Linked DNA regions of Saccharomyces cerevisiae S288C. The protein of the gene in region 1 purifies or fractionates together with the protein of each later gene. This does not show direct contact. Each region holds a gene or a part of one and is shown in the gene's direction. Other genes may lie near its edges. The genes, in order: UTP5, NAN1, MPP10 and SGD1.

Region 1 (7,846 bases):
AATGTTCGTCTTTCTTCTGCTATTTATTTGAAGAATAAGATTCACAGATCATGGGATACTAAGAGAGAAGATGGTATAAAAGCTGACGAAAAGCTTTCGATCAAGGAAAGGTTAATCGAGACTTTAGTTAAAAACTGTGAAAATAACCACATTAGGCCTATCCTGACTGAAACCATAAATGGGATACTTGTTGGTCAGGAAGATTGGGATTTAGCACCTATTATCAAGAATTTATTATCGAGCGGTGACGCATCGTACATTTATCCCGGGTTACTACTACTGTTCCAACTTTGTAAAGCTCATAGGTGGGACATGGTTGGGTCGAGAGATTATATTGATTCTGTTATCGAAGAACTTTTCCCTATTGTGGAAGGGATAGCTTCTAATATCGGTAGTCAAACGGATTACAGATCTAATGAAATATTGTACCTCATTTTGAAGTCATTCAAGTATGCATGTTTGAACAACTTGCCTCAATACTTCAGCCAACCTGAAAGAATTATGTCATGGGTGCAACTACATTTGTATTTATGTTCCAAACCATTACCAGTCGAAGTAATGGAACTGGATCCCGCAGATAGGTCCCTAGACAAAAGGGTTAAAGTGAACAAATGGGGGTTCGGTAACTTAAACAGATTCCTGCAAAGATACAACAAAATTACAAAGGCCATCACCAAGGAATTTATCGACTATATCTTCAATACTATTGTTCCTATAATTCTTCGAGAATTTTTTAAGGATATTGAAGCTTGGGGTAATAATTCACTATGGTTATCCGATTCCTCTTTGTATTTCTTAATTTCATTCCTAGAGAAATGTGTTACAATAGATCAACTTTATCCTTTAATTGAGCCACATTTACAAATTATTTTTGAGAACGTCATCTTCCCATGTTTGTGTGCTAATGAACAATCCATCGAATTATTAGAAGATGACCAAGAGGAATATACCAGGCGTTATTTTGACATTAACAGAGAAGGCTCTACGCCAGATGCTGCTTCAGCAGATTTCATATTCTTGATTGGGTCCAAACGTCCTGAGAAACTGAACAATATTTTACCGTTCATTAATGATATTTTTACTAGATTCGATGCCAATTCCAGTGATATTAACATGGCATTTAAAGAAGAGGGTGCTTTGAGAACATTGTCTAACTTGTTTTCGTTTATAGATGAGCCATCCGTTCTGGAGAATATTTTTGGACACTTCATCGTGCCATTGTTATCGCAGGATAAGTACATGTTTTTGGTTGCAAGAAGTTTGGAAACGATAGCGCTGTATTCGGAAGAATTTAAAGATATGAACATATTGTCACAATTATTTGAGTTAACATATACCAACTTCTTAAACAGTAACGTTTTACCAGTCCAAATTGAGGCCGCAGATGCCATTAAATGTTTAATTGTATCCAATCCTCAAATCCACCCAGCGGTCTCTGCTCATGTTCCAGGTATGATGGAAAAGCTATTGAAATTGTCTAAAATCTTTGAAATCGATATCTTATCTGAAGTCATGGAAGCATTGGTGGAGAGATTTTCAGATGAACTATCCCCATTTGCTAAAGATTTAGCTTCAAACCTAGTCGAACAATTTTTACGTATTGCTCAAGCATTGGTAGAAAATCCATCGGAAACCTACAGCGCAAGTGACCAAGAGCAGGAAATCCAGGCCAGTGGATTGTTACAAACAATGACTACTATGGTCATGTCAATGAATAAAGTTCCATTAATCGAGTCCTTAGCTCCCGTGGTCAAGTTTGTTGTACTTCATGCACAAATTTCTTTTATTACGGAAGCTGTCGACTTACTGGATGCTTTAACTATTTCTTCGCATCTGCTTTATAACCAAATTGCACCACCAATATGGGAGTTGTTACATGATATATTGGATTCTTTCCAAACTTATGCCATGGACTATTTTGAGGCCTACAGTATTTTTTTTGAAACCATCGTGATGACCGGCTTCCCACAAGATCAAACTTATGTTCAACCTCTGCTAGAAATTCTCTCTGCTAAACTGGAAAGTGAAGTTGACTACGACATCGAGCATGTTATGCAAATTCTAATGTACTTCGCACTGTCCATGAGAGACATTCCATTATTCAGCAAAGCCATCAAAGTATCCACTAATGATGAGCTAGGATTGGACTCTAAATGCATCGTTAAACTGGGACTGGCCAATTTGTTTGCTAAACCAATCGAAACTTTACAAATAATGGAAAATGAAGGTTTTACTATAAATTTCTTTACCAATTGGTTTAATGAAAAGTTCTACAGTGTCTTCGCCATCAAATTACAAGTCCTGGTCATTTTAACCCTTTTGAAGATGCCTGAAGTTCCTAATAGTGTCAGCCCACTACTAAATAACCTGACCAATAAACTGGTGGAATTGACATTATCATTGCCAAAGGCAATTAGAAACCGTGATGCTGTTACCGAGGGCAAATCCTTAGAAGGAGACCTGACCCCAGAAGAAGAAGAAGAATACTTTATCGAATGTGATGATGATATGAAGGAGACAGTGTTAGACCAAATTAATGTTTTCCAGGAAGTACATACCTTTTTCAAGAATTTGCAAAACGAAGATGCCGGTAAGTACGAAAAAATCATAAATTATCTGGATGAATCTAAGAGAGATTCCTTGCAGGTAATTCTGGAATTTGTTTCTCAACACTGAGGAGAACACAAAAAAAATAGTGGAATGTGATAGTTTGAAATAAGGATATTAGTTTATACTCTAATATACAAATATAAAAGTTGTTTCTTTTTCGTTCTTTTTTTTTTTTGGACTTGTCTTCGTTTTTATTACATACATGCATGCGCTTAACATATTCCCATGTGGTTTATTTTCGTATATAGCATTACTTTGTTTAGAAGCTTCTATTCAAGAAGAATCCTCCGACTTAACCGGATCAGATACACTATTGTGGTGTAATCTGGACCTTGACTGTCTAAACAACTCCTCTTGTTGTCGTAGCAGCTCTTCTTCCGAGAGACCTGACTTCTTGAACTTGGAATCCCTAGTTTCTTTCACCTTCTGGGAACCCTTAAAATTCAATAATATTTCCTCTAAGAATGGTATAAACTCATTATACTCCAACTCTTCTAGCGCTTTGATCACGTGCTCGGGCGCTATGGTTTTCTTAGCCTCGTTGTCCGCCATTTCGGAAGCCATCGAGGACAGGATCATTATGAATTCTATGCCGGAGTTGATGATGATTTCTCTTGCATCCTTGGTAAACATCAAATCCTGGTCCAGTATTTCAGATATCATCTTTTGTACGGTCGCTAAGATCATTCAGTGTTTTCTCTAAGTTAGTATAACCGCTCAGTACCCGCATCAAAGCTTGAGTTTTGCAACAACAATATAACTAACATACCCTTGGGAAGCGACACATTATCGGAGTCTCCAGCCATCAATTAATTAATAGGTACAACTGTATTAGTAAATATCGTTATGATTTCTTGCCCACCTTATACTGGTAACTCTGCACGATAGAAATCGACAAGGCGAGCAGAGGGCGAAAAGCGCGACCAAAAACCGCTTCCATTTATATAGGAGGGAGAGTGCAGCGGGCTGGGCGTTTTAAAGTGGTGCAAGAGTTAATTGCACATACTGGAATACGCCAAAGATAAGAGCCCGAGCTGATTAAACCAGATCGTAATTTTTGCGGCGACTATTCGCATGAACAGGCTATGCTGCATAGTGGTGGCATTTCTTTACAATAGTTTTGGTTGAACGTGTTGTACAGTTCCCCTTATTCTTTGATTGTCATTTAACACGGGGATGAGCTTCTTGACAAAAAAATTTTATCCAATTTTTTTTCATTTCTTTTTCTAATCTTTCGCAGCTGAAGCGATGAGGTGAAAAAATTAACAAGTATTGGATAGGATATATGTATGTAAAGATAGATGCAGAGCATATATAGTTTAAACTTGGCTTAGCAAGAGGGTAAAAGACACATTTGCCTTATAATTGTTCATTACCGATGGATTCTCCTGTTCTACAGTCCGCTTATGACCCATCAGGTCAGTATTTGTGTTATGTCACTGTAGCTTTGGACAAGCAACGCGTTGGTGTACAGCCCACTCAAAGGGCCACTTCCTCCGGAGTTGATACAGTGTGGAATGAGAATTTTCTGTATTTAGAGGACTCGAAATTGAAGGTGACGTGCTTAAAATGGGTAAACCTGGCTTCTTCCGACACAGTGGCTATTATATTGGGTATGAATAACGGTGAAATTTGGCTATATTCCGTATTGGCCAACGAAGTCACCTATAAATTCACTACGGGGAATTCTTACGAAATCAAAGACATAGACTTGATGGGTAATCAACTGTGGTGTATCGACTCCAGCGACGCATTCTATCAGTTCGATCTGTTACAATTCAAACTGTTACAACATTTTAGAATAAACAACTGCGTTCAATTGAATAAACTAACCATTGTTCCAGCAGGCGATTCTGTTGCACAACTTTTGGTTGCATCCCATTCCATTTCTTTAATAGACATCGAAGAGAAAAAAGTCGTAATGACATTTCCCGGTCATGTATCTCCAGTGTCCACATTGCAAGTTATAACTAATGAATTTTTCATATCAGGCGCAGAGGGTGATAGATTCTTGAACGTATATGATATTCATTCCGGTATGACCAAATGCGTCCTTGTGGCTGAATCAGATATCAAGGAGTTATCTCATTCAGGCCAAGCCGATTCTATCGCAGTCACTACCGAGGATGGTAGCTTGGAAATTTTTGTTGATCCATTGGTATCGAGTTCAACAAAGAAAAGAGGCAACAAGTCCAAAAAATCCAGCAAAAAGATTCAAATCGTCAGTAAAGACGGCAGGAAAGTTCCAATTTATAACGCATTTATTAATAAAGACCTTTTGAACGTATCGTGGTTACAAAATGCTACTATGCCTTACTTCAAGAACTTGCAGTGGAGAGAAATCCCTAATGAATATACCGTCGAAATTTCCCTAAATTGGAATAATAAAAATAAGTCCGCCGATCGCGATCTACACGGTAAAGATCTTGCCTCAGCCACCAACTACGTGGAAGGTAATGCAAGAGTCACCTCTGGAGATAACTTCAAGCATGTTGATGACGCTATAAAGAGCTGGGAAAGAGAATTGACTTCTTTGGAACAAGAACAGGCCAAGCCCCCACAGGCCAATGAACTATTAACAGAAACATTTGGTGATAAGCTAGAATCAAGCACCGTCGCAAGGATTAGTGGGAAAAAAACAAATTTAAAAGGTTCCAATCTCAAGACTGCTACGACAACCGGGACGGTAACAGTAATTCTGTCGCAAGCACTACAATCAAATGATCATTCACTGTTGGAAACAGTGCTCAATAATCGTGACGAGAGGGTCATTAGGGATACTATCTTCCGTCTGAAACCAGCACTGGCTGTCATTCTCTTAGAAAGGTTGGCAGAGAGGATTGCAAGACAAACCCACCGTCAAGGCCCATTGAATGTTTGGGTAAAATGGTGTTTAATCATACACGGTGGCTATTTGGTTTCTATTCCAAATTTGATGTCTACTCTATCGTCGTTACATTCCACCTTGAAAAGGCGTTCCGACTTATTACCAAGGCTACTAGCACTGGATGCAAGGTTAGACTGTACTATAAATAAATTCAAAACTTTGAACTATGAAGCAGGCGACATCCACTCATCCGAACCAGTTGTCGAAGAGGACGAAGACGACGTTGAATATAACGAAGAACTCGATGATGCCGGCCTTATAGAGGACGGTGAAGAATCTTATGGCAGTGAAGAAGAAGAAGAAGGTGATAGTGACAACGAAGAGGAACAGAAGCATACCTCATCTAAGCAAGATGGCCGTTTAGAAACGGAGCAGAGCGACGGCGAGGAGGAAGCCGGATATAGTGACGTTGAGATGGAATAGAGGATATCATGCATAAAATGCTTTCACGCATCAGAATACAAAAATAATCTCTAGGCACATAAATACTTATATAGAGTTCACCACATAATGTAAGAAAAGAAAAAAGAAAAAAAAAGATCACGAAAGTATCCCACGCGAAGAAGATCTGTCAAAAGACCCCCACAATCGTTTATCCTTTTTGAACTGCATCTGGCATCGTTAACAGTAAGGCCATCTGGAACATCAAGCAAGCACTCCACTTTTACGTCACAACCATAGTTGGTTAACTAAGAAAAGACAGTACATATTTCCCTTCCGAGTCACTTATTTTTTTTTTCTTCTGAAAAAATTAATTAGATTAATTTCAATTAATATCATTTCCGCTTATCTGACTTCTTTCATTTTTTTTCTCTATATTTCGCGTTTACTAGGAAAGAAAAGGAAAAAAAATTTTTCCCCCTCCATCTGTCCCAAATCGGGTAGCGATGAGCTGCTATAGAATTTTCTATTTAAACATGTTTGATAAGCCCAATTTCCGTTAGATTTTGTTCCCCCTTCGCAGTTTGGTTTGCCGTAACTTTTTTATTTTAGTCTCCATCTAGCTGGAGTAATACGATGTAGTGCCTTGTAATCTTTCTTATTTTTATATTACCGTTCGTGTTCATTATATCCATTACGTTCCCATAATGTCGGCAAACGATAAGCAATACATCTCGTACAACAACGTACATCAACTATGTCAAGTATCCGCTGAGAGAATTAAGAATTTCAAGCCGGACTTAATCATTGCCATTGGTGGTGGTGGTTTCATTCCTGCTAGGATCCTACGTACGTTCCTAAAGGAGCCCGGCGTGCCAACCATCAGAATTTTTGCTATTATTTTGTCTTTGTACGAAGATTTGAACAGTGTAGGCTCAGAAGTTGAGGAAGTTGGTGTTAAGGTTAGCAGAACACAATGGATTGATTACGAGCAATGTAAATTAGATCTAGTCGGCAAGAACGTTCTTATCGTTGACGAAGTCGATGACACCCGTACCACACTTCATTACGCTTTGAGTGAATTGGAAAAGGATGCAGCTGAACAGGCAAAGGCTAAAGGTATCGATACTGAAAAGTCTCCAGAGATGAAAACAAACTTCGGGATTTTTGTTCTACACGATAAGCAAAAACCAAAGAAAGCAGATTTGCCTGCCGAAATGTTGAATGACAAGAACCGTTATTTTGCAGCTAAAACTGTTCCAGACAAGTGGTATGCATATCCATGGGAATCTACTGACATTGTTTTCCATACTAGAATGGCTATTGAACAGGGCAATGACATCTTTATTCCTGAGCAGGAACACAAGCAATGATAGACATATCATATCCTTCAGTAACTTGAATCATACAGCAGAATTTGTACAATAGACAACGCATATAACTGCGACCATATGTATACGTATAACTAATTATTATCTCAAAGTTTATTCCCTTAGCCTCACCGGTAACCTGTGAGGCGCGATTACGTTTTCCCTCTGTTCACCACCACGTAACGCGATATTTGACACATACGTGACAACTACTTTTGATGGAATCTGCTGATTTTTTTACCTCACGAAACTTATTAAAACAGATAATTTCCCTCATCTGCAAGGTTGGGGAAGGGTTGGACAGCAATAACCAGCGACTGTTTGAAGAAAAGATGACTGTTAGTAAAATACCCATATGGCTAGATTGTGATCCTGGTCATGATGATGCCATAGCCATTTTATTAGGCTGTTTCCATCCAGCTTTCAATCTTCTAGGAATCAGCACGTGTTTTGGTAACGCACCGCCAGAGAATACTGACTACAACGCCCGTTCTCTTTTGACTGCGATGGGCAAAGCACAAGCGATTCCAGTTTATAAAGGCGCACAGAGACCTTGGAAAAGGGAACCTCATTATGCTCCTGACATTCATGGTATATC
Region 2 (8,634 bases), on another chromosome or scaffold:
ATTTTACCACCGGGACCATATAAATCTAGAATCTTAGACCACGATGGGCCAACCTCTTTCAGGCCTTCCACTAATGCTTCTTCTTCCTCTTTGGACCAAGTTCTTTTCGCCTTTGGTTTTCTTAATCCGATACTACCATTATTGTTGCTGTTACTGCTGTTGTTATGAGAGGAATGAGGACCAGAGCTGCTGTTGCTCATCGAGGCCGCAACAGCGGCATCCACAATGGATTGTGTGATAGCGGGGTTTTTGGAAGACACATCTGTGGTAGGTGTATGTGTGCTGTAATGATTCGGACGAGCAGTTGACAAAAAAGCAGACGCACTGCTTGGCTGATTTTGGTCGTCCATGAATTCTACGGTCCTGGTCCCTGTAGAAAAGAGTACTTGAGGATCAAACTCGTTGACATCAAAGTCATATAATGGTGATTTTCCGCGACCCTTTCTGCCCCATATGATGAGACCCATATTTTTATTACAATAATCCAGCAACTCTCTGATAAATTGAGCCCATTCGTAGCTCTGGGTCAGAGAGTTAAAATCTTGGACGATCTTTAAATTTTCTCTCCGACGATCGCACCTTTCGACGAAGTCCTTCTCCGATGGAGTCAAAAGTGTAATGTCTCCAGAATCGCCGGTTCTTCTCTGCACGAGAATATCAGCCAGATTGGATGGGAAGATTAAGTCTAGTAGCTCTTGTTTCTTTTCTAAAGAAATTTCGTTCGTCTCGTCCTGAAACTCTTTCAAGCCGGCAATGTAAGCCTGTGTTTTCAGATCAAGATATAGGATAGCCTGCGATTTCAAAAACTTTCCGCTTTGTTCCAGGGAGTTGTTACCGACAGTGTTTGTATTTGGACAGAAAATATCGAGAAATATCGACTGTAGCAGCTCAAACCCGTAATTAAGGCAGTTCAGCGACGTCAATAGAAATGTTAGCAGATTCGCCTTTCTTATGGCAGTAATAATAAACGCTTCGTGGCCTCTCAATATAAGGGGGGGAGGGGAGTTGGGAAACCATAAACCAGGCGCCACGTCGTGAACAGACAGTAACGGAGATCTGGTGTGGTAAATCATTCTGATCTGCTTAAAGAGCTTGACTAACGTTTGAAAAATTTCTGTTTCGCCTGAGCTTAGGAAAGCCGTCTGGTCCGTCAAAACCGCTATAATATTGGGAGAGTTGGCATTAAGGATAAGAAACCTCAGTAGTTGAGTGGAGATATTGTCCAGCAGACATAATGAGCATATGGTCAACCTAGTTCTTGCAGGCAGGCTTTGGATGATGTCATTGAAGCGGTTTAAGCTTTCGTTATTATTGGGCACTTGCGAATCCATGACAAATGGGGAAAGAAGTGAGTAAAGAAAAACTAATGTAAAATGATTTCTGTCGCAGATGGGACAGCCACAATCTTAAATGTTGGCAAGGATATAGGAGCAAAACGCCAATATTGAGATGATTGTTTATTATAATGTTTACAAGGAAGGGCAAAGCATTGAGGAAAATTAGTCGGAATGAGGTCTCGCCGGGCTTCTACGGAAAGGGGCGAAAATTAATAGGGCACGGTGCAGAATATTAGGGCTTCAAATGTTCAGATTTTAAAGCCTTTTCTTCAAATACAATAATTAATTTTACACACTGTACCTTGCATATATAAGAGAAGAGAAATTTATAAACAGTATAGTTAGTTAGTTAAGAATGGAATTTGAATAAAATCATAAAGGAGATATTTACCGAATAAGTAACAAATAGAGAAGGGAGAGATTAAAAAATGAAAATTTACAGTACCGCCAACAAACACTTGAATAAGATTGAAAATTAGAGAGAAAAAAATTTAGAAATAATACAAAATACTAATAGTGATGGGACACAAAAATGAAGAAAGAAAATAGGTTTGATAGTATTGCTATCACCATTGACATTCTCGTTTGGATATTCACTTTTTACGTGGAGAGTTTGACCTTCTTCTTGTTTAGTTTAATAATGCCGGAGGGGCCCTTTGGTTGCACTAACTCGCCGTTTTCAACACATTTCTTGATAGCGCTATTGAACAGATAGTCAAAATTTGAGCTTGTTTTCAACTTGGAGGAGAAAGTGTCCTTGACATACTTCTTTAAAACGATACGGCTGGAGCCCTTACCGTCATTAAGTTGAGGCATGCTTTTAAGGATCATTTCCTTGTAGGTCAATGAAGAAGGCGAAGAGGCCTTCTTGGCGGTAACAGTAGGCGATTTTTTTTTCACTACTTTCTTTGGCGCTAGCTTCGTGGATGCGGCTTTCGCTTTTGATGCGGTTGCACTCACAGAAGTGGCGGCTTGCTTGGGTTTTGGACTGACCTCTTTTTCTTTCTTTACTTCTGGAGATTTCTTCTTGGCCAGTTTCACAGCACCAGCGGGTCCCTTTGGCTGTTCAAAATCGCCGGCCTCCACACCCTTCTTTATGGCATTGTTGAAGTACAAATCAAAGTTGCTTGCGGATCCGACGATCGGGTAGTTTTCCTTGATAAACTTCTTGAGTGCCGGACGACTGGATCCCTTACGTTCCTTCAAAGCCGTGAGCCCTTCAATGATCAACTCCCTGTAACTCTTGGAGGAAGCTTCCTCCTTTTTTGCCGTGGTTTTCTTGATAGCGGCCTTGGAAGTTGATTTCTCCTTGCCTTTGCTGGTTGCAGGCTTCTTGCCCTTACTTGTGGTCTTGGTAGTGGATTTCTTGGGTGCCATGTTGCTTTAGTTGTATTATAATTGCTTCCCTCGCTGCCAAGCATTATCAGGTGCCCATAAATAACAACTCCCCAAATCTATAGTTGCTCCTCCTCTTTAAATAAAGGCAGATAAACAAAAAACTTTGACCGCCCGCTTTTCCACACAAAAAACAAACAACAGCAGAAAACGCGACGCGAAAATGAAAAGCCAAAGAGAACAAACAAAAATCATCCATCAAACCTGTTATTGTGCAGAATAGCTTTTACCTAGACGCAAGTCCCTAGGAGGGGGCATTTTTGACACAGAATAGCATTTCATCAAAGCAAACAGCAACTTCTTGGAGATTTGTATTGCTTGGCATGTCAAAATCTAGCGGTCACATCAGTAGGGTAACAAAATAGCACGTCAGGGTTAAGGCGGCCTACTGCTTAGGGTACGTGGTAAGTGATGTAAAATGTGAGAAGGAGAAACTAGAAAAAAATTTTCCTTTCTTTTTCCTAGCGATGAGATGAGATGAAATTTTTCGAACAAATGATTTTTGGCACAGTTTACATATCAGTTATATTGGCTGTCGTCACAGGAACTACAAGTACAAACCAGAACCATTTTAGCTGATCACCAGAATGACGCAATCCCTAGGTATCGAACAGTATAAACTGTCAGTCGTATCTGGTGGGAAACCCGCTTTGAATAATCTCAGTTCAGTAACCGGCAATAAGAATATCGCCCGCCTATCACAAGACCAACGAAACTATATTATACCCTTTAACAATCAGATCAAGGTGTATTCTGTGGAAACTAGACAATGTGTTAAGACTCTAAAGTTTGCAAATAACTCCTTGTTATCCGGAATATTTCTGCAAGAAGAAGAGAATAATGAATCGATTGTAAAGATTCTGCTGGGTGATATAACCGTTCCGCAACAAGAAGACGCTCATCTGATTACCGTATTCACCAATAATGGTCATGTAATTGTTTTAAATTATAAGGGGAAGCTGGTCGAGTCCCCTAAGCATTTCAAAATCTCTTTGGCAGATGAAAAGCTTGCAAATGTTTTCCATAGCGAGGGCAACTATAGAATTTTGACAACGTTCAAGGACCCTAGTCAAAAGGCACATAACTCTTTGCAATCGTACAGGTTATATGCATTAACCTTTGACGATGCTAAAAAGCAATTTGAAGTGGCTCATCAGGCAGAATGGCACAACGTTATCTTGTCAAATATTTCTTCCAATGGTAAACTGCTAGCGCATATGTGCAAAGACGTCTCAACAAAAGATCACGAACACAAATCCATCTCAGTTGTTTCGCTTTTTGATGATTCTGTAAATTTAAGCTTTCCCCTCGGTTCCATCCTTTCTTCACAGACTCAATCCCTATCCTATAACACAAGGTACGTTTCTAGCATGGCCATAGACAATATGGGTCAACAACTGGCTGTTGGATTTGCCTCCGGAGTTATAAGTATCGTAAGCCTGGCCGATCTACAAATAAGACTGCTCAAATGGCATATAGACTCTGTGCTGTCACTCTCATTCTCTCACGATGGATCCTATTTGCTATCTGGTGGTTGGGAAAAAGTTATGAGTTTATGGCAATTGGAAACAAACTCTCAACAATTCCTGCCTCGTTTGAACGGTATTATAATCGACTGTCAGGTATTGGGACCTCAAGGGAACTACTACTCTTTAATCCTACAAATGACTGAAAACAATTCAAATTCTGACTACCAATTTTTACTTTTGAATGCTTCTGATTTGACCTCCAAATTGTCGATTAACGGGCCATTACCGGTGTTCAATAGCACCATAAAACACATTCAGCAACCAATCTCGGCCATGAATACCAAGAACTCCAACTCAATTACCTCTCTCAATCACTCTAAGAAGAAACAATCTAGAAAACTAATTAAATCGAGAAGACAAGATTTCACCACTAATGTAGAAATAAACCCTATTAACAAGAACTTGTATTTCCCACACATTTCTGCTGTTCAAATTTTTGACTTCTATAAAAATGAGCAAGTTAACTATCAGTATTTAACATCAGGTGTCAACAATTCTATGGGTAAAGTTAGATTTGAACTGAATTTACAAGACCCAATAATAACTGATTTGAAGTTCACCAAAGATGGGCAATGGATGATTACATACGAAATTGAGTATCCGCCAAATGACCTCTTATCTTCCAAGGACTTAACTCATATCTTGAAATTTTGGACCAAAAACGATAATGAGACAAATTGGAATTTGAAAACGAAAGTAATAAATCCACACGGGATAAGTGTCCCAATTACCAAGATATTGCCTTCACCAAGATCAGTTAATAATAGTCAAGGCTGTTTAACGGCTGACAACAACGGTGGACTGAAATTTTGGTCCTTCGACTCTCATGAGAGCAACTGGTGCTTGAAAAAAATTTCTTTACCAAACTTTAATCATTTCAGTAACTCCGTTTCTTTAGCTTGGTCTCAAGACGGGTCTCTAATATTCCATGGTTTCGATGACAAGTTGCAAATTTTAGATTTCGACACTTTTAAAAAGTTTGAATCATTGGAAAATACAAAGACGGTCAGTGAGTTCACGTTAGACTCTGAAATCCAAACCGTCAAGTTGATTAATGACACAAATTTAATAGTGGCCACCAGGACTACATTAAACGCCATCAACTTATTGCGGGGTCAAGTCATAAATAGTTTTGACTTATATCCGTTTGTTAACGGAGTGTATAAAAATGGTCACATGGATAGGCTTATTACTTGTGACGAAAGGACAGGCAACATTGCCCTGGTTATAAATCAACAACTAACTGATCTCGATGGCGTACCAACTATCAATTACAAATCCCGTATTATTATATTCGATTCTGACTTATCTACAAAATTGGGTAATTTTACGCATCATGAATACATATCTTGGATTGGTTGGAATTATGATACTGATTTCATATTTTTGGACATAGAATCAACACTAGGTGTTGTCGGAACCACTGTGAATACTCAACTATCTGATGAAGTTAATAACGAAGGAATATTGGATGGCCTGGTAAGTAACACCATCACAACTTCGGCATCCAATAGCGATATTTTTGCAGAACAATTGCATAAACTGTCGTCTAGGGGCAAAAAAAGTGACACTAGAGATAAAAATACCAATGATAACGACGAAGATGAAGAAGATATCGCTTTGGAATTTATAAATGGCGAAAAGAAAGATAAGCTAGTCAATATGAATAGTTTTACGAGCATGTTTGACAACATTCAAAACGTGCAAATGGATACATTTTTTGATCGTGTGATGAAAGTATTAACATAGCTTTAGGGTTCTTCCATTGGATATCCAAAATAGATATAAAGGTATATATATATATATATATATATATATGTTTATAAAGCAAACCGAAAGCAAAAATATCTGTATAACTTAGTTACAAGGGAAGGGAAGAGAATGCATTGGTTAATAGGAACAGACACTTCGTAAAAAGCTTCACAATCATTAATGTTAATAGAACTATCATAATATACAAAAAATCTCTTCATACGATTTTTGTTTGATGAGCATCCTCAGTCAAGATGAATAAAATAATCTCTCCAAATAAGCCGCCTCTTTTTTTTTGAATTACACTTCTATAGCGTACATTTCCATGTAAGAAGATTGAAGTTTCAAACAATTGGGTAGCTTAATATTTGTCAAACTTCTTGGTAGGTGTTGTGTTTAAGAAAAAGGAGGCACCATAAACTATTAACTTTTTAGCTTGCCTCAACTGTCAACCGAATCAAATTTTAAAAGGCGTTAAACAAAAATGGCCTCGTCTCTTAACGAGTTAAACTTGGTTCAAGTACTTGAACAAGCAAGTAACCCACAACATATTAGGTCAGATGTTCAAAAATTAGCCGAACAACAACTAAGACAATGGGAGACTCAAGCGGGATTTCATTACTTATTACAGTCAATCTACCTTAATTTATCTAATTCTTTACAAATTAGATGGTTGGCGGTAATTCAATTTAAGAACGGCGTGGATAAATACTGGAGATCCACTAGAATTAACGCTATACCTAAAGATGAAAAAGCCTCGATAAGAGGTCGTCTTTTTGAAATGATCGATGAACAGAATAATCAACTTTGTATTCAGAATGCCCAAGCTTCCGCAAGGATTGCAAGGCTAGATTTTCCCGTAGAGTGGCCAACCTTATTTGAGGATCTAGAAAACCTATTGAACGATGAGATCATCAGAAAAGATTCAGTTAAGATTTACAATATATTGATGCATATAAATCAAATCGTTAAAGTATTAGGTACTGCGAGAATAGGAAGGTGCCGACCCGCTATGCAAAGTAAAGTTCCTTTGATATTACCACTAATTGTCAGGATTTATTTACAATCATTTGAAGAATGGACGACATCCTCCAATCTCAACTACGAGGATCTTTCCAGTTTACAAGTTTCTTACCTAGCTTTGAAAGTGCTCAGAAGGATAATTTGTGAAGGATACGACCGCCCTCAAACCGATCAGTCTGTTTGCGATTTTATTAAACTATCCGTTTCACACTTTGAGATGTTAATTTCAAACCATGAAAACTTCAAAAAGTTTGATATTTACGAAAAGTTTATCAAATGCCTAGGAAAGTTATATTTCAATTTAGTCACTGGCTCTCCGGCTAATTTCATATTACTGCCATGCTCTACGCAAATTCTAATCACTTATACTAGGCTAATTTTCGATAAGGCCCCTAAAGTATATAGAGAGAATTCTGATGTCACGGGGGACTTTTGGGAACAGACTGCTATTAGAGGGCTTTTAATTTTGAAAAGGGTCATTAATTTCATTCACAAAAAGGGGGCAATTACGTTAAAAGCAAGAAGTGATAAACTAACCATAGATGCTTCTATCAACAAAATCAACACAGAATTTCTGAATGAGAATTTGATAACAAGGTTGGTTGACACTTTAATGGAATGGTACTTGAGGTTAAGACCAACTGAATTAGAAAATTGGTTTATGGATCCAGAAGAATGGATAAACGAACAAATGGCCACGAGTTACGAATATCAAATCAGACCATGTGCAGAGAACGTTTTTCAAGACTTAATGAATACTTTCTCTGAGCTGTTGGTTCCCTACCTGTTAAAGAAAATTGAAAATGATGCTTCAAAGCTATCAAACTCATTAGACGATTTTTTAAGGAAAGACGCAATTTATGCAAGTTTCCAATTAAGTGCATCCGCTGTTAGTGAAATGGTAGATTTTGACAGGTTACTAATTCAGGTTTTTTTACCAGAAGCTACAAATACAAACATATCAGGCGACGAATTAAGGATTATCAGAAGAAGAGTTGCTTTAATTATAAACGAATGGTCTACTGTGAAGTGTTCGGAAGAATCTAAAAGTTTATGTTACAAGTTATTTACAAACTTCCTGACAGATGAAGACGACAAAGTTGTTTTGTTAACCACAGTCCAGACTGTCAGAACCATGGTTGATGACTGGAACTTCAACAAGGATACTTTTCAGCCATTTTTAACTGAAAATGTTCATTTATTGTTGAGGAAAATTTTACCATCTGTGTCGTTAACCGAGACAAGGCTATATGTTTTAAACACCTTGAGCGATATCATAATTCAAACAAAACCTTTAATTAGCAGGGATCTATTAGTCGAAATTTTGCAAATCATACCAAACCTTTGGGAAATAGCAACAAATAATGCTAGTGAGGCTATTTTGGCAAACGCATTGTTAAGGTTATTGAGAAATTTGGTATCATCTTTGGGATCACAGTCACATTTAACGTGGGATATCGCCATACCTGTGGTTGCATTAGCCTGTGATCCCTCTTCTATGCAATATCAGTTGTTAAGCGAAGACGGGTATGAACTATGGGGCATGCTTCTTCAAAATTTTTCATCCCACGATCAAGAGTTTGACGATAAGTTCGTTG
Region 3 (5,981 bases), on another chromosome or scaffold:
AATGGAATTCAAGTGGACATCAATCGTTTGAAAAAGGGCGAAGTCAGTTTAGGTACCTCAATGTATGTATATAAGAATTTTTCCTCCCACTTTATTGTTTCTAAAAGTTCAATGAAGTAAAGTCTCAATTGGCCTTATTACTAACTAATAGGTATCTTATAATCACCTAATAAAATAGTATGGCCGTGACATTTAAGGATGGTGTGATACTAGGTGCTGATTCACGTACCACCACTGGTGCGTACATAGCTAACCGTGTGACAGATAAATTAACGAGAGTACATGACAAAATTTGGTGTTGTAGGTCCGGTTCTGCAGCAGACACGCAGGCGATTGCCGACATTGTTCAGTACCATTTGGAATTATATACTTCTCAATATGGTACCCCCTCCACAGAGACTGCTGCCTCGGTGTTCAAAGAATTATGTTACGAAAATAAAGATAACCTTACTGCTGGTATAATTGTGGCTGGTTATGATGACAAAAACAAAGGGGAAGTATATACTATTCCATTGGGTGGCTCCGTCCATAAGCTGCCTTATGCGATAGCAGGATCTGGCTCTACTTTCATATATGGGTATTGTGATAAAAACTTTAGAGAAAATATGTCAAAGGAAGAAACCGTAGATTTCATAAAGCATTCGCTATCGCAAGCCATTAAATGGGACGGATCTTCCGGTGGTGTTATAAGAATGGTTGTTTTGACAGCTGCTGGTGTGGAACGTTTGATATTCTACCCTGATGAATATGAACAACTATAATAGACCCCAAAAGAACAAATTCTGAGTGATTACTTCTCTTTATATTTGTTAACAAATGCCTCTGGATCTACACTGATATAACATATAATAGTCTATAACCTCTTTCTCTTTTTCTCTTCGCTTTACGCTTTTTTCTCTAACTGTTAGAACGACAAAGTATCTCAGAAGGGAATTTCGTAAGCAAGATATTTTACGACTAATCATTTTTTTGTTGTATAAAAACGTATGTGAGATTGATTCACTAATTCTTCGGAGTCCTGGAAGGCTTACCTTATCTATGCATTCGTACAGTTGTGTGCAATGTTAAAAATGGTGACTGTATCTACGTATCTATAAAAAAAGGTTAACTACCGGAAAATCATTTCTTCTCGTAAAGTGTATATTTAGGTTCGGAAATCATAAACATTGTTTTTTTGTGTTTTTTATTTTTAAATAAAAAGAATAAATATTTTATATTAAAAAATAAATTTTAAAGTAAATTAATTATTTAACACGTGATTAAGTTACTCTAATATAATCCTATTTAATAATTAGTAGAGTTGTTGAGAACGAGTATAATATTATTTTTTTTTTATTTTTTTGTAGGTTCTTTGGCCATCCTAAATAGAATAAGCATCCACAACAACTAAACTGGTATTTTGTTATACACAACGCGTCTTGGTTAGGCATCTGTTTTGTTTTAGCTATTGTTCATCGCGTTTTTTTTTTTCTTATCTCTTTTACCGAGGGGCGAAAATAGCGATAGATCGAGAATATAAATAAATAAAATATTGTTGTGTTGTGTAGTTCTAAAGAAAAATTTTACAGTGAAAAGGTAACACCGGGGAGTCATTACGTAGACTTACGTATTCTGTATAACTGATTCCGAGACGCAAATGCCTGAGCAAGAACCATTGAGTCCCAATGGCCGTAAGCGCTCTGAGGTTCACTATATCTCAATCCCATTGAACAGAGGTTCCGCATTCTCACCAGATGATTCTGTATCACAGTTTCAGTCTGACGGGTTCATGACACGTAGGCAATCCATATTGGACCATCCTGTGGGCTCATTTAAGGGAGTTAATTCTTTAAGTCGATTTGCGACTTCGTTGAGGAGAGCCAATTCGTTTCGTAATATCGAGCTAAATGCGGATAATGAAAGATCCTTTTTCAAAGAGAGTAACGATGAAACCTACGATCCGGATACTTTAGCACCAGCTTTGGACGGTAGAAGATTATCAGTAACTTTAAATAATGCTGGTCGCCCGCGCATTACTAATTTGGCTAACAACGATAGAGTTAGTACAGCCAGCATGGCTATTCACGATGATGATTATGGGTCCATCCAAAATTCAACAATTGGGGATTCTGGGTCAATATTACGCCCTACTGCCTCCTTAACAGAAATGATGAGTGGTGGAGCGGGGAGAAGGTTTACAAATAATGACATGGATTCAATTGTAGTGAAGAGAGTGGAGGGTGTAGATGGTAAGGTAGTAACTCTTCTTGCTGGTCAGTCGACCGCTCCACAGACCATATTCAACTCAATCAATGTACTGATTGGTATTGGGCTCCTGGCGTTACCTCTTGGTTTGAAATACGCCGGCTGGGTTATAGGACTTACTATGCTTGCAATCTTCGCCTTAGCGACATTTTGTACTGCTGAACTTTTGTCTAGGTGCCTAGATACAGATCCAACTTTGATATCTTACGCGGACTTGGGATATGCAGCATTTGGTACAAAAGGGCGCGCACTAATTTCTGCTCTTTTCACACTTGACCTACTGGGTAGTGGGGTGTCCTTGGTGATTCTCTTCGGAGATTCTTTAAATGCTCTATTTCCTCAATACTCCACCACTTTTTTCAAAATAGTTTCATTTTTTATCGTTACACCCCCGGTTTTTATACCATTGAGTGTTCTATCTAATATCTCGCTTCTGGGAATCCTTTCAACAACCGGAACTGTGCTAGTCATTTGCTGCTGCGGACTATACAAGTCGTCTTCTCCAGGTTCATTAGTTAATCCGATGGAAACGAGCATGTGGCCGATAGATCTAAAGCATCTCTGTTTATCTATAGGTTTATTGAGTGCCTGCTGGGGAGGACATGCGGTTTTTCCCAACTTAAAGACAGATATGAGGCATCCAGATAAATTTAAAGACTGTTTGAAAACTACCTATAAGATAACATCGGTTACGGACATAGGTACTGCAGTTATTGGCTTTTTGATGTTTGGAAATCTTGTTAAAGATGAAATTACTAAGAACGTTTTGCTGACGGAGGGATATCCAAAATTCGTTTATGGTCTGATTTCAGCGCTTATGACTATCATTCCTATCGCAAAGACCCCATTGAACGCAAGACCTATCGTTTCTGTATTGGACGTTCTGATGAATGTGCAACACATAGATGAAGCGGCCAGCGCCATAAAAAGAAGAGCTGCGAAAGGCCTTCAAGTATTCAATAGGATCTTTATTAATGTTGTCTTCGTTTTGATAGCTATTAATTTCCCTGAATTTGATAAGATTATCGCATTTCTGGGGGCCGGTTTGTGTTTTACAATTTGCCTAATTTTGCCGTGTTGGTTCTATTTAAGATTGTGCAAGACAACAATCAAACCATGGGAGAGAGTGGCTTGTCACGTAACCATATGTATTAGTGTCGTGTTGTCCACATTAGGTGTTGGTGCTGCAATTATTTCATAATCGACGAGGGGCATACTTACTCTACTTAAAATTCATTTACATTAGCTCTGTACTTCTGATAATGAAAAACCATTGCGTAATATACATATTTTCGTGTAGAATTATTTCCATAAAATATTCACCGCCTTTTCTGTACTGGCCGCCGGCATGCGAGGGAAGCAGAAAATTTTCAATTTTGCGATGAGCTCTTGAAGAAACAGTGTTTTGTTATGAATAAATGATGTGTGCACGAAAGACCCAAGGAAAGTCGTATAATGTCAGAACTCTTTGGAGTATTGAAATCTAATGCTGGCAGAATTATTTTGAAGGACCCCTCCGCCACTTCTAAAGATGTTAAAGCATATATAGATTCAGTTATCAATACCTGTAAGAATGGGAGTATTACAAAGAAAGCAGAACTGGACGAAATCACTGTTGATGGTTTAGACGCCAATCAAGTTTGGTGGCAGGTCAAACTAGTTCTTGATAGTATTGATGGTGATCTAATTCAAGGAATTCAAGAACTCAAAGATGTTGTCACGCCTTCTCACAATCTCTCTGATGGTAGCACCCTGAACTCATCATCCGGGGAAGAAAGTGAACTAGAGGAGGCAGAAAGTGTTTTTAAAGAAAAGCAGATGCTCTCTGCTGATGTTTCTGAGATTGAGGAGCAGAGTAATGATAGTCTTTCCGAGAACGATGAAGAACCTAGTATGGATGACGAAAAAACCAGTGCAGAGGCAGCTAGAGAAGAATTTGCGGAGGAAAAAAGAATTTCTTCTGGGCAAGATGAAAGGCATTCTTCACCCGATCCTTATGGTATCAATGATAAGTTTTTCGATCTCGAAAAGTTCAATAGGGATACTTTAGCTGCAGAAGATTCTAACGAAGCTTCTGAGGGGAGTGAGGATGAAGATATAGATTATTTTCAAGATATGCCTTCAGATGACGAGGAGGAGGAGGCTATTTATTATGAAGACTTTTTTGACAAACCCACAAAAGAACCTGTGAAGAAGCACTCTGACGTAAAAGATCCAAAAGAAGATGAAGAATTGGATGAAGAAGAGCATGATTCTGCCATGGATAAAGTGAAATTAGACTTATTTGCGGATGAGGAAGATGAACCGAATGCTGAGGGAGTGGGAGAAGCCAGTGACAAGAACTTATCTAGTTTCGAAAAGCAACAAATAGAGATTAGAAAACAGATAGAACAATTGGAAAACGAAGCGGTTGCCGAGAAGAAATGGTCTTTGAAGGGTGAAGTAAAGGCAAAGGATCGTCCCGAAGATGCATTGCTCACTGAGGAACTTGAATTCGACAGAACTGCAAAGCCTGTTCCTGTTATAACAAGTGAGGTCACAGAATCATTAGAAGATATGATTAGACGAAGGATACAGGACAGTAACTTTGACGACCTTCAAAGAAGAACCCTGTTAGACATCACACGTAAGTCTCAACGGCCTCAATTTGAATTGAGTGATGTTAAATCCTCGAAGTCGTTAGCAGAAATATATGAGGATGACTACACACGCGCTGAAGATGAATCTGCATTAAGTGAAGAGCTTCAAAAGGCACATTCCGAAATATCAGAACTTTATGCTAACTTGGTATATAAATTGGATGTGCTTTCATCAGTGCACTTCGTTCCTAAGCCAGCAAGTACTTCTTTGGAAATTAGAGTTGAAACACCCACTATATCGATGGAGGATGCTCAACCTCTCTATATGTCGAATGCCTCTTCTTTGGCTCCTCAAGAGATATACAATGTCGGTAAAGCAGAAAAGGACGGAGAAATTCGCTTGAAGAATGGTGTTGCAATGTCTAAGGAAGAATTAACCAGAGAAGATAAAAACAGATTGCGCAGGGCTTTGAAAAGAAAAAGATCGAAAGCTAATTTGCCAAATGTAAACAAAAGATCTAAAAGGAATGATGTTGTTGACACTTTGTCAAAAGCCAAGAATATTACTGTTATCAATCAAAAGGGTGAAAAGAAAGATGTTTCCGGTAAAACGAAGAAGAGCAGATCAGGGCCAGATAGCACAAATATAAAACTTTGAACACGCCGAAGAAGACTTAGTTTGTATTTAGGTAAAAAATTATTTCTTCATAACTCTGTTCACCCAGCATTTTTTATGGAATATCGACCTTGTAATGTCATTAACCCCTTAAAGGACCACTTAAAGAAAATGAAGTGCATCATGAAATATTCATGACGAGATGCGGAACATATACACTCATAAATACCAGAAGAATGTGCTGAATAATTTTTTGTTGGTAATTGGCTGTCATTTAAAGTATCGTTGAAACAAGAGGTATTGGAAGATAGCTAATTTTAGTATTATTTATGACGTTCTTTCCTGGATAAATGTAGATGTATATACGTAATAAAATGTTAATTAGTAAGTTATATGCTTTCCATATAATGTTCTATCTTAGTCTGCATAACTTGTTTGCTTGTTTTTGTTTCTAACGCTTCTCCATACTGGGCTAAGAGATTTTTTATTTTTTTTGCAGCAGTCGGCCCTGATATCAGCTTTTCTCCTAGTGCGCCATCAAA
Region 4 (8,865 bases), on another chromosome or scaffold:
TCTTCAAAAAAGTTTAATAACACCACGCAGTTCGGAAGTATTAGTTCTACCAAATTTTCTTCGGGATTATCTTTGCTTACTCGAAAGTCATAGAGCGTATTGAATAGTTTTTTGTTTATTTCATTTAGAGTCAACGAACATTTTTCAAGGGTGGCACCAGATAATAACTCAGCATAAGGGACATTATCGTCAAAACTAAATTCTATCACGTCTTCATCTGCAGTATTTAGCATAAAAGTTGCTGAGTTTGAACGAAGACTATCAATGTTTCCATTTTTTTTTGAAAATTTTGACTCCGCTATATGGTTACAGTCAATACTCTGGGTATATTTACCACTCGAAGCTGGGTCATTACTGTTGTTAATTTGGTAGTTTAAATTAGAAGAATTATCATCTTGAATTCTATCCCACTTTCCTTCTTTCTCATCGATCCTTATCGGAACTGCGTCAGTTCCAAACTGGCTTCTGATAGTTTCTGCATTACCGCGATGGAGCTGTTCGCTTTTATGGTGCCCTGAATTGTTTTTTGATGTGAATAAAGAATCATCTAATGGAAAAAAACCTATACTACTCTTTTTTTTTGAAGGTACATTATCTTTTACGGTATATTCGTATTCCAAAGGAAGAAAGAAGCTATTTTGTACGTTAAAATTTGAATTATCTCCCCTTCGAAACATATTCTACTTCTATTGATCTCTTAAGGAACATAGAAATACTGCAAGATAGGTTTTTTTTTTTATGGGAGCTTCTGCTCACCTCTCATCGAAGCAGTAGTTTCGTCTTTTACTTTTCTTCATTATTTCCTCGCAGCTATTTTTGATTTTGTGACATTTCTTATATCCGACGTCTTGAAAGAATCAAGCGATAGTAGAGAAAAAGACAACTTTTGGTATTCTCAGTATTTCAATAAGCATATAAAGGATAAAAACCTTTGTTCAGAGACAAGCGTAAATTGGGAAGATAGTATAGCTACTTTCTCTCATCAAATCATGAACTTTGAAATAGTCCGTATGAACTAGAAAACCAAACTACATTAAGTGGAAGTATTTTTATCCAGTTAGGTGTCCAGAGCCGCTCAGAATATATGAAAATCGCCAGGTATTCGGAGACTAACTCAGGCTAGCGCAAGGAACCGGACAGTACATTATCATGAATAAAATGAATCAATGAGGATTAATGTTATTTAATTATAAAATAGTATATATGAAATTAACTTAATAATTCATGTTGCACTTCTTAATCGAATAAACCGAAACCCATGTCGTCATCAGATTCTTCTTCTTCTTCAGCAGCAGCTTCTTCAGCTGGAGCAGCGTCACCGGAAGCAGCGGAGGTAGCAGCTGGAGCAGCAGCAGCGTACTTTTCTGGGTTTTCAATTCTGTCAACCAAATCTTCAATTTCAGGGTAGTGGTAGGAAGCAGCAATGGCAACAGCTAACAAGTCCTTGTAGTTGTTGATCAAAGTGTGACCGACAGATGGCAAGGTTGGGTAACCAATAGCCAAAGAGATAGAAGCAATGGTGCTGACAGCGGAAACGAAGTGAGAAACCAATTCTTCATCGGTGATATCCAAGATAGAAGATGGGAACACTTGACCGTTGTCGTAAACTTGAACAACAGTCAAACCGAAAGTGAATGGAGAGATGTTCAACAAGTTCAACAAGGAAGCTTCAGATTGACCGACCTTGTTACCGGCGTCAACGACCTTGACATCAGAAACAATTTCAATGGTACCTCTGGCAATCTTGGTTGGGACACCCAAAGCTTGGAAGAAAGAAGTCTTACCTGGTTCCATACCAGTGTTGACGGCTCTAACCCAGATGTCTTCTGGAGCAACGGCACCAGCTCTGGCTGGAGCAGCAACTCTGTTAGAGACAATAACGTTCTTGATTTCAGTCAATGGTTCGTTAGTGAAAACGAAACCAACGTTACCTTTGACAAAAGGCAACAACTTTTCGAAGTCTGGCAAGTCGGATAAGAAACCTCTGATGGCTCTTCTAACCATGGTGTTCTTACCCATCAAGACGACAGCTCTGCCTCTCAATTCCTTTCTGACTTCGTGCATTTGTTGGGAAGAAACATTGTCAACACCAACAACGAACAAAGACTTGTATTCTTCCAAGTATTCTCTTAATTTAGCAAAGTATTCAGCTTTCTTTTCACGAATGCCTCCCATTTCAAACTTATTATACGTATTTATTAGACTGTTTGCAGGATGTTTAAAGGTATTCCGCTTATGTATCTTATGGCTGAAACTTGAAAAAAGAATCGAGAATTAGATATTGTTAATCTTTCATTTACTTATAACTTGAAGTCATTTTTTACCAGTTTTTCGCAACGATGTGATGCATTCACTCTCAGTTCGGCATTACTTCTTTTTTCTTTGAGAAATTTTTTGACTTTTTTCTCGAAATAATCAAAATGTGAAATGTTCGGATGTTAAGCAGGCAAATATGTAAATGTAGATATTGCCCTGAGAAGTATCTTGATAACATACGGTATGGAACTCCTTCAAGATAAGTTACAATTAAAATGGTAATTTCAATGTTCGGTTTGTCCGCTACATTGCTGTATTCTCTTTTAAGTTCAAATTACAAGGGCAAGATAAAAATTTTAGCTCACAAAAGATGGAAAAAGTCGCAAATATTCAAGTTACGAAACATTGACAGAGGATGGAATCACAATGTTAGCCTTCAAATCCTACTATCCTGTATGAAGCTTGCTAAAAGCGTCTTTAGAAAGAATGAAATGTTCATAACCTAGTCACTGCTTACGGGTGCGGCCGCCGTCCTCAAATAGGGGCCTTAAGAATAATCCGCACAGTCAGTAAATACTTGAACAAAATCTAAAATTATAAACTTATGAAGAAAGTTTTTGATATGAGACAAAGCATACGACTAAAAAGCGCACAACCGTTTGTTGAAGAAGCCTACCATATATATAACGAATTGTTGAAATGGCAGGTGCTCCAGCTCCTCCTCCTCCACCGCCTCCACCAGCATTAGGTGGTAGTGCTCCTAAACCGGCAAAATCTGTGATGCAGGGCCGTGACGCCCTGTTAGGTGACATTAGAAAGGGAATGAAACTAAAGAAAGCTGAGACCAATGATAGAAGTGCCCCAATCGTGGGAGGTGGTGTCGTTTCATCGGCCTCAGGAAGTTCTGGTACCGTCAGTAGTAAAGGACCCTCTATGTCAGCTCCTCCAATCCCTGGGATGGGCGCTCCGCAGTTGGGCGATATTTTAGCTGGAGGTATACCGAAGTTAAAACATATCAATAACAATGCAAGCACTAAACCCTCTCCATCGGCGAGCGCACCGCCAATTCCGGGCGCGGTGCCATCTGTTGCGGCTCCCCCCATTCCTAATGCACCATTATCACCAGCACCCGCTGTTCCTAGTATTCCCTCGTCTTCTGCACCTCCAATTCCTGATATTCCATCTTCTGCGGCCCCTCCTATTCCCATTGTACCATCATCTCCAGCACCACCGCTTCCATTATCAGGTGCCTCTGCTCCAAAGGTACCGCAAAATAGACCGCATATGCCTTCAGTAAGGCCAGCACACAGAAGCCACCAAAGAAAAAGCTCTAATATTTCTCTTCCTAGTGTGTCAGCACCCCCTTTGCCTTCAGCGTCTCTGCCAACACATGTTAGCAACCCTCCACAAGCTCCACCCCCTCCCCCAACTCCAACAATTGGCCTGGACTCAAAAAACATTAAACCTACAGATAACGCAGTCTCACCACCATCTTCTGAAGTTCCTGCAGGCGGGTTGCCATTTTTGGCAGAAATTAATGCCAGGAGGTCTGAACGAGGAGCCGTCGAGGGCGTTTCTTCCACAAAGATTCAAACCGAAAATCATAAATCTCCTTCACAACCACCACTTCCATCATCTGCTCCGCCCATTCCTACATCACATGCTCCGCCATTACCGCCTACTGCACCACCTCCACCATCGTTACCAAATGTGACCTCTGCACCTAAAAAAGCAACTTCAGCTCCAGCTCCGCCTCCACCACCACTACCAGCAGCCATGAGCTCTGCGTCGACTAACAGCGTAAAAGCAACCCCGGTTCCCCCAACTTTAGCACCACCGTTACCAAATACTACATCAGTTCCTCCTAACAAAGCATCGTCAATGCCCGCGCCACCACCTCCTCCTCCCCCACCACCTGGTGCTTTTTCAACATCCTCTGCCTTGTCAGCATCATCTATTCCTTTAGCACCACTACCACCTCCTCCTCCTCCTTCGGTTGCAACGTCAGTACCATCGGCTCCTCCTCCTCCTCCAACACTCACGACAAACAAACCCTCAGCGTCCAGTAAGCAATCCAAAATATCTTCATCCAGTTCTTCCTCGGCCGTAACACCTGGGGGACCCTTACCATTTCTTGCTGAGATCCAAAAGAAGAGAGATGATAGATTCGTGGTTGGTGGTGATACTGGATACACTACCCAAGATAAACAAGAGGATGTAATAGGTTCATCTAAGGATGATAACGTAAGACCTTCTCCTATTTCTCCATCTATAAACCCGCCTAAACAGAGTAGCCAAAATGGTATGTCGTTTCTGGATGAAATTGAATCCAAATTACATAAGCAAACATCATCGAATGCTTTTAACGCACCACCCCCCCATACGGATGCTATGGCGCCTCCTTTGCCTCCTAGTGCACCTCCTCCTCCTATAACATCGCTACCGACTCCAACTGCATCAGGTGATGACCACACCAATGATAAGAGTGAGACTGTGTTAGGGATGAAAAAAGCAAAGGCCCCTGCACTGCCTGGACACGTTCCACCTCCACCAGTTCCACCAGTTTTATCAGATGATAGCAAGAATAATGTCCCCGCCGCTTCTTTATTACACGATGTTCTTCCCTCCTCGAATCTCGAAAAACCTCCTTCTCCTCCTGTTGCAGCTGCTCCGCCATTGCCAACATTTAGTGCACCAAGTCTGCCTCAGCAATCCGTGTCTACATCAATACCATCACCTCCTCCTGTTGCGCCTACACTTTCCGTTCGTACCGAAACTGAATCAATTTCGAAGAACCCCACTAAGTCGCCACCCCCACCACCAAGTCCATCTACGATGGATACCGGTACCTCTAATAGCCCCAGTAAAAACCTTAAACAACGGTTATTTTCTACAGGTGGATCGACGCTGCAACACAAGCATAATACGCATACAAATCAACCAGATGTTGATGTAGGTAGGTATACGATAGGGGGATCGAATTCTATCGTTGGGGCCAAATCTGGAAATGAAAGAATTGTTATAGATGATTCAAGATTTAAATGGACTAATGTGTCACAAATGCCTAAGCCACGTCCCTTTCAAAATAAAACAAAACTGTATCCAAGTGGAAAGGGTAGTAGTGTGCCATTGGACTTAACATTATTTACGTGAGCATTTCTCCATGGTTACAATAAATCACTGAAGAACAAGAAAATAATAATATTTTATAAAAATATTTTACTAAATTACATATGGTATCTGCAATATTTATTTTTTAATCTTTTAGCTTCCCGTCCTTTTCGCTGTGAAAAATATAAAATCCAGCAAAAAAAAAAAAATGCGATGAGCTTACAAGACTACTGAACTTACTTACGAAGCCTCATCTTAACTAAAGATAGCCAGTCCACAGCTGCAGAATATTGAGGCAATGCAAAAAACAGATGGTATTAGAATTCCAGGCGTTATTTTGGACGAGTTGAAGACTCTTGACTACAGTCAAGATGAAAGGTTTTCTATTTCAGAAGGAAAAAAGAGAAGACGAGGAAATGGCAAACATTTAAGCCGTAAAGAAAAGAGAAAGATGGAACGGGCCGACAAGAAACGTAAAATTATATCAACTAGAGAAATCAATTCCAGCCGGCTAAAATCAGCACCAACGTCCGAAAAGAGGAGTGCTAATGCAGGTGTGAAAAACGTAGGCAAGCAGGCTAACGGTAAAAATCCGATTTCTTCAGATGAATCAGAAAGTAATGAAAACTGGGATAGTGACGAAGTGCTTACTGATGAAGTAGCAGAAGAAAGCGGTGAGCAGGCAATGTCTGCGGAAGAAACAATGAAAAAACTAGAATCATTGAAACGGAAAGCAAAGGGTATACAAGGAGCTGAAAACTCGGGAGAAATAAAAGGTAACTCATATGAAAAGAAACATATTCGTAACAGAGATACAAATGAGAATTTTGTGAGTTATCCGCTGGCCCCTTCAGACAGATCAGCGTTTGAAAGGGACGAGATGGACATGCAATATTACGCAAAAAAGTTGGGCTTGAAAGGAGAAAGGAAGGCTATACATGCAAAAGATGAATTTGATGCTATTGGTGGACTTCTTGAAGGTTTGGAATACTTTGAAAATTATGGCAAAAGTGACGAAGAGTATGGAGATTTTGCCACAGAAACTAATTCTATGAGAAAAGATGATGAAGCAAGCGAGAAAGCATTTTCCTCGGATGATGATCTTTCAGCTTCTGATTTTGAAGACTCAGATGGGCTTAGTGAATCTGATAACGACAGCGTTGCGGACTCGGATGATAATTATAGAAGAGAAAAGGAAAATCCCTATGTAGCTCCCACACAATCTGTAGAGAGCTATGTTCCCCCATCACTGAGAAAGAAATTGGATGATAGTGAAAACAATAGTACTTTGTCTGAAATTAGCAAGAAGGTCAACTCCTCTTTGAATAAGCTTTCAGACTCCAATATTACTATTATTATCACTGATTTAAACAGATTGTATGATTCCCTGCCTAGGCAGTACGTTACAGAATCGTTAACGAAAGGGATATTGAATATTATAAGCCAAAATCAGAAGTTGTTGGACGGATTTATAATGAATTATGCTGCTCTTGCGTATACATTATCAAAACTAAGAGGTATTGAGGTGGGTGCTTTTTTCATTCAAAAAACGGTAGAGGCATTTCTGCATCATTACGAAGAGGAAATGGAAAATATATTAAAGGATCAGCAGAGCAAAATTTCCTCTAAAATATGCATCAATATTGCAACCTTACTATCGTATTGTTATAATTTTGGATTTGTTTCGTGTCGCTTAATCTATGACATTATTCGAATATTTGTAGCAGATCCTAATGAATTCACTACTGAGTTACTTTTACGAATTATATCGATTTCAGGACAACTGATCCGGGGTGATGATCCATCCGCCCTGAGAGATATACGATCAGAACTGTTGAAGAACGCCAAGAATTTAAAAGAGCAGAGCCCAAGATTGAGATTTTTAATGGATACCATGTCTGACTTGAAAAACAACAGGTTAAAGCCTTCTATTTTGGCGACTGATCATCATCCATTAAAGAAAAACTTGCAAAGCATTTTGAATTCTTCTTCTTCTTGGGAGCCTTTACAGGTTTCTCTGGAAGACATTAAAAACATTGATTCCAAGGGGAAATGGTGGCTGGTTGGTGCTTCTTGGCGAGGAAACATGGAAAATGCTTTTGAAGTTTCGATCAATAATGAAAATGATGCCAGCAAGTCCAAGAAATCTAAAATTTCAATCGAGGATGATCTTCTTGATGATATTCCAGATTGGAATATTATCGCCAGACAACAGCGTATGAATACTGACATTCGAAGGGCTATATTTATAAGTATTATGTCTGCACAAGATTACCTGGATGCATTTAGTAAACTTGAAAAGTTAAGCTTGAAAAATAAGCAAGTTCTTGAAATTCCAAGAATTGTTTTACATTGTCTTTTGGCTGATAGTGGATCCAATGGTTATAATCATTACTACGCATTGGTCGCGAACAAAATATGTGAAAGGTATAGCCATTTATCGAAGTCGTTTCAATTCCTATTCTGGGATGTGATAAAAAAATTTGAAGACAAAGAATTCGATTCTGAAAGCGATACTGACGAAGAAGATGATTTAGATGATAAAGAAAAACTGCTTCGCATCTCAAATCAGGGGAGATTTTTTGGATCGTTGCTTGCTAATGACATTTTGAAATTAGATGTTTTCAAGCATGTTCCATTTATGGGTGGATTAAACACAGAAGGGATGTTATTTATGGAGATATTGCTATTTCAGTTATTTTTAACTGTAGCTAAAAAAAGTGAGAAGAAACTCAAGATGGATGAAAGTGGAAATAAGCGTATAATCTACTCCGATGATTATTTGCGCGATGTTTTAACGAAGAACGTTAAATCGGAAAATATGCTATTCATTCTCAAAGGTTTGAAGTGGTTTATTAACAAGAAATTTAGATACCATAATTTCCTTGCAGGAAAGAAAGGAGATAAAGCTTTTGATAGGGATGAAAGAAGATTGGCTTGGGCTTCAAAAGCTGCCAAATCTATTATAGACAAAGAACTGGAAAATATAGATTCGTAGTGTTTTTTGGAATAAATTTTGTATTCTTTATTTGCTCAACTATAACCTTGAGCTACAAAATATGAGGGTTCTATTCTATTTAAAATTGTTAACTGTATTTACTCTTATTTCATTTCTTTTTTAGCATCTTCAATAGCTTTCGTAAATGAGCGGCCTTCTTCCTTCTGCTTAAACTTGACGATATAAGTTACAAGTTTCCCATCAGCCGCAACAGTAGGAGCTTTAATGAGATTATCATTTCCGGGAGCTAAAGGCTCATATTTGAAGGAGTCTACAACAGTTGCATTTAGTAATACATTACCCATACCGTCAGACCTACAAAGTAGGCGCACTTTAGAAGGATCGTCCTTTTTCTTCAAAAGCTTCATTTCGCCTACGCCTCTTGAATCGTACGATTTGGTTTCAGCATTGAATGTCATTAATTTTGCTTTTTGCGAAAATAAAGCCACTTCGTCTTCCTCACCGTTTTGCAAGTTTATTGGCTTTGATTCTTCTGGGGT

What was found.
Region 2: the proteins of UTP5 (region 1) and NAN1 purify together in Saccharomyces cerevisiae (affinity purification with mass spectrometry; 4 studies listed by BioGRID, with this or other methods). This does not show direct contact.
Region 3: the proteins of UTP5 (region 1) and MPP10 purify together in Saccharomyces cerevisiae (affinity purification with mass spectrometry; 3 studies listed by BioGRID, with this or other methods). This does not show direct contact.
Region 4: the proteins of UTP5 (region 1) and SGD1 purify together in Saccharomyces cerevisiae (affinity purification with mass spectrometry, with the first as the bait; 2 studies listed by BioGRID). This does not show direct contact.

The regions. Positions count from the first base shown.
Region 1 is NC_001136.10:1,263,483-1,271,328, forward strand, and holds UTP5 (Utp5p), read left to right. Parts: upstream 1-3,988; coding exon 3,989-5,920; downstream 5,921-7,846. Other genes in the region: SXM1 (Sxm1p), read left to right, coding at 1-2,676; negative cofactor 2 transcription regulator complex subunit NCB2, read right to left, coding at 2,884-3,287, 3,380-3,416; HPT1 (hypoxanthine phosphoribosyltransferase), read left to right, coding at 6,586-7,251; URH1 (trifunctional uridine nucleosidase/nicotinamide riboside hydrolase/nicotinic acid riboside hydrolase), read left to right, coding at 7,581-7,846. UniProt on the Saccharomyces cerevisiae protein: Involved in nucleolar processing of pre-18S ribosomal RNA. Required for optimal pre-ribosomal RNA transcription by RNA polymerase I together with a subset of U3 proteins required for transcription (t-UTPs).
Region 2 is NC_001148.4:306,891-315,524, forward strand, and holds NAN1 (Nan1p), read left to right. Parts: upstream 1-3,319; coding exon 3,320-6,010; downstream 6,011-8,634. Other genes in the region: TBF1 (Tbf1p), read right to left, coding at 1-1,331; HHO1 (histone H1), read right to left, coding at 1,938-2,714; karyopherin KAP120, read left to right, coding at 6,498-8,634. UniProt on the Saccharomyces cerevisiae protein: Involved in nucleolar processing of pre-18S ribosomal RNA. Required for optimal pre-ribosomal RNA transcription by RNA polymerase I together with a subset of U3 proteins required for transcription (t-UTPs).
Region 3 is NC_001142.9:435,166-441,146, forward strand, and holds MPP10 (rRNA-processing protein MPP10), read left to right. Parts: upstream 1-3,699; coding exon 3,700-5,481; downstream 5,482-5,981. Other genes in the region: PRE3 (proteasome core particle subunit beta 1), read left to right, coding at 1-62, 179-761; AVT1 (Avt1p), read left to right, coding at 1,637-3,445; MRX12 (Mrx12p), read right to left, coding at 5,829-5,981. UniProt on the Saccharomyces cerevisiae protein: Involved in nucleolar processing of pre-18S ribosomal RNA. Required for the early cleavages at sites A0, A1 and A2 during 18S ribosomal pre-RNA processing.
Region 4 is NC_001144.5:799,197-808,061, reverse strand, and holds SGD1 (Sgd1p), read left to right. Parts: upstream 1-5,665; coding exon 5,666-8,365; downstream 8,366-8,865. Other genes in the region: SPO77 (Spo77p), read right to left, coding at 1-677; 60S ribosomal protein uL10 RPP0, read right to left, coding at 1,237-2,175; VRP1 (Vrp1p), read left to right, coding at 2,956-5,409; nucleoporin NUP2, read right to left, coding at 8,470-8,865. UniProt on the Saccharomyces cerevisiae protein: Involved in osmoregulatory glycerol response, probably through its interaction with PLC1 which regulates the expression of GDP1.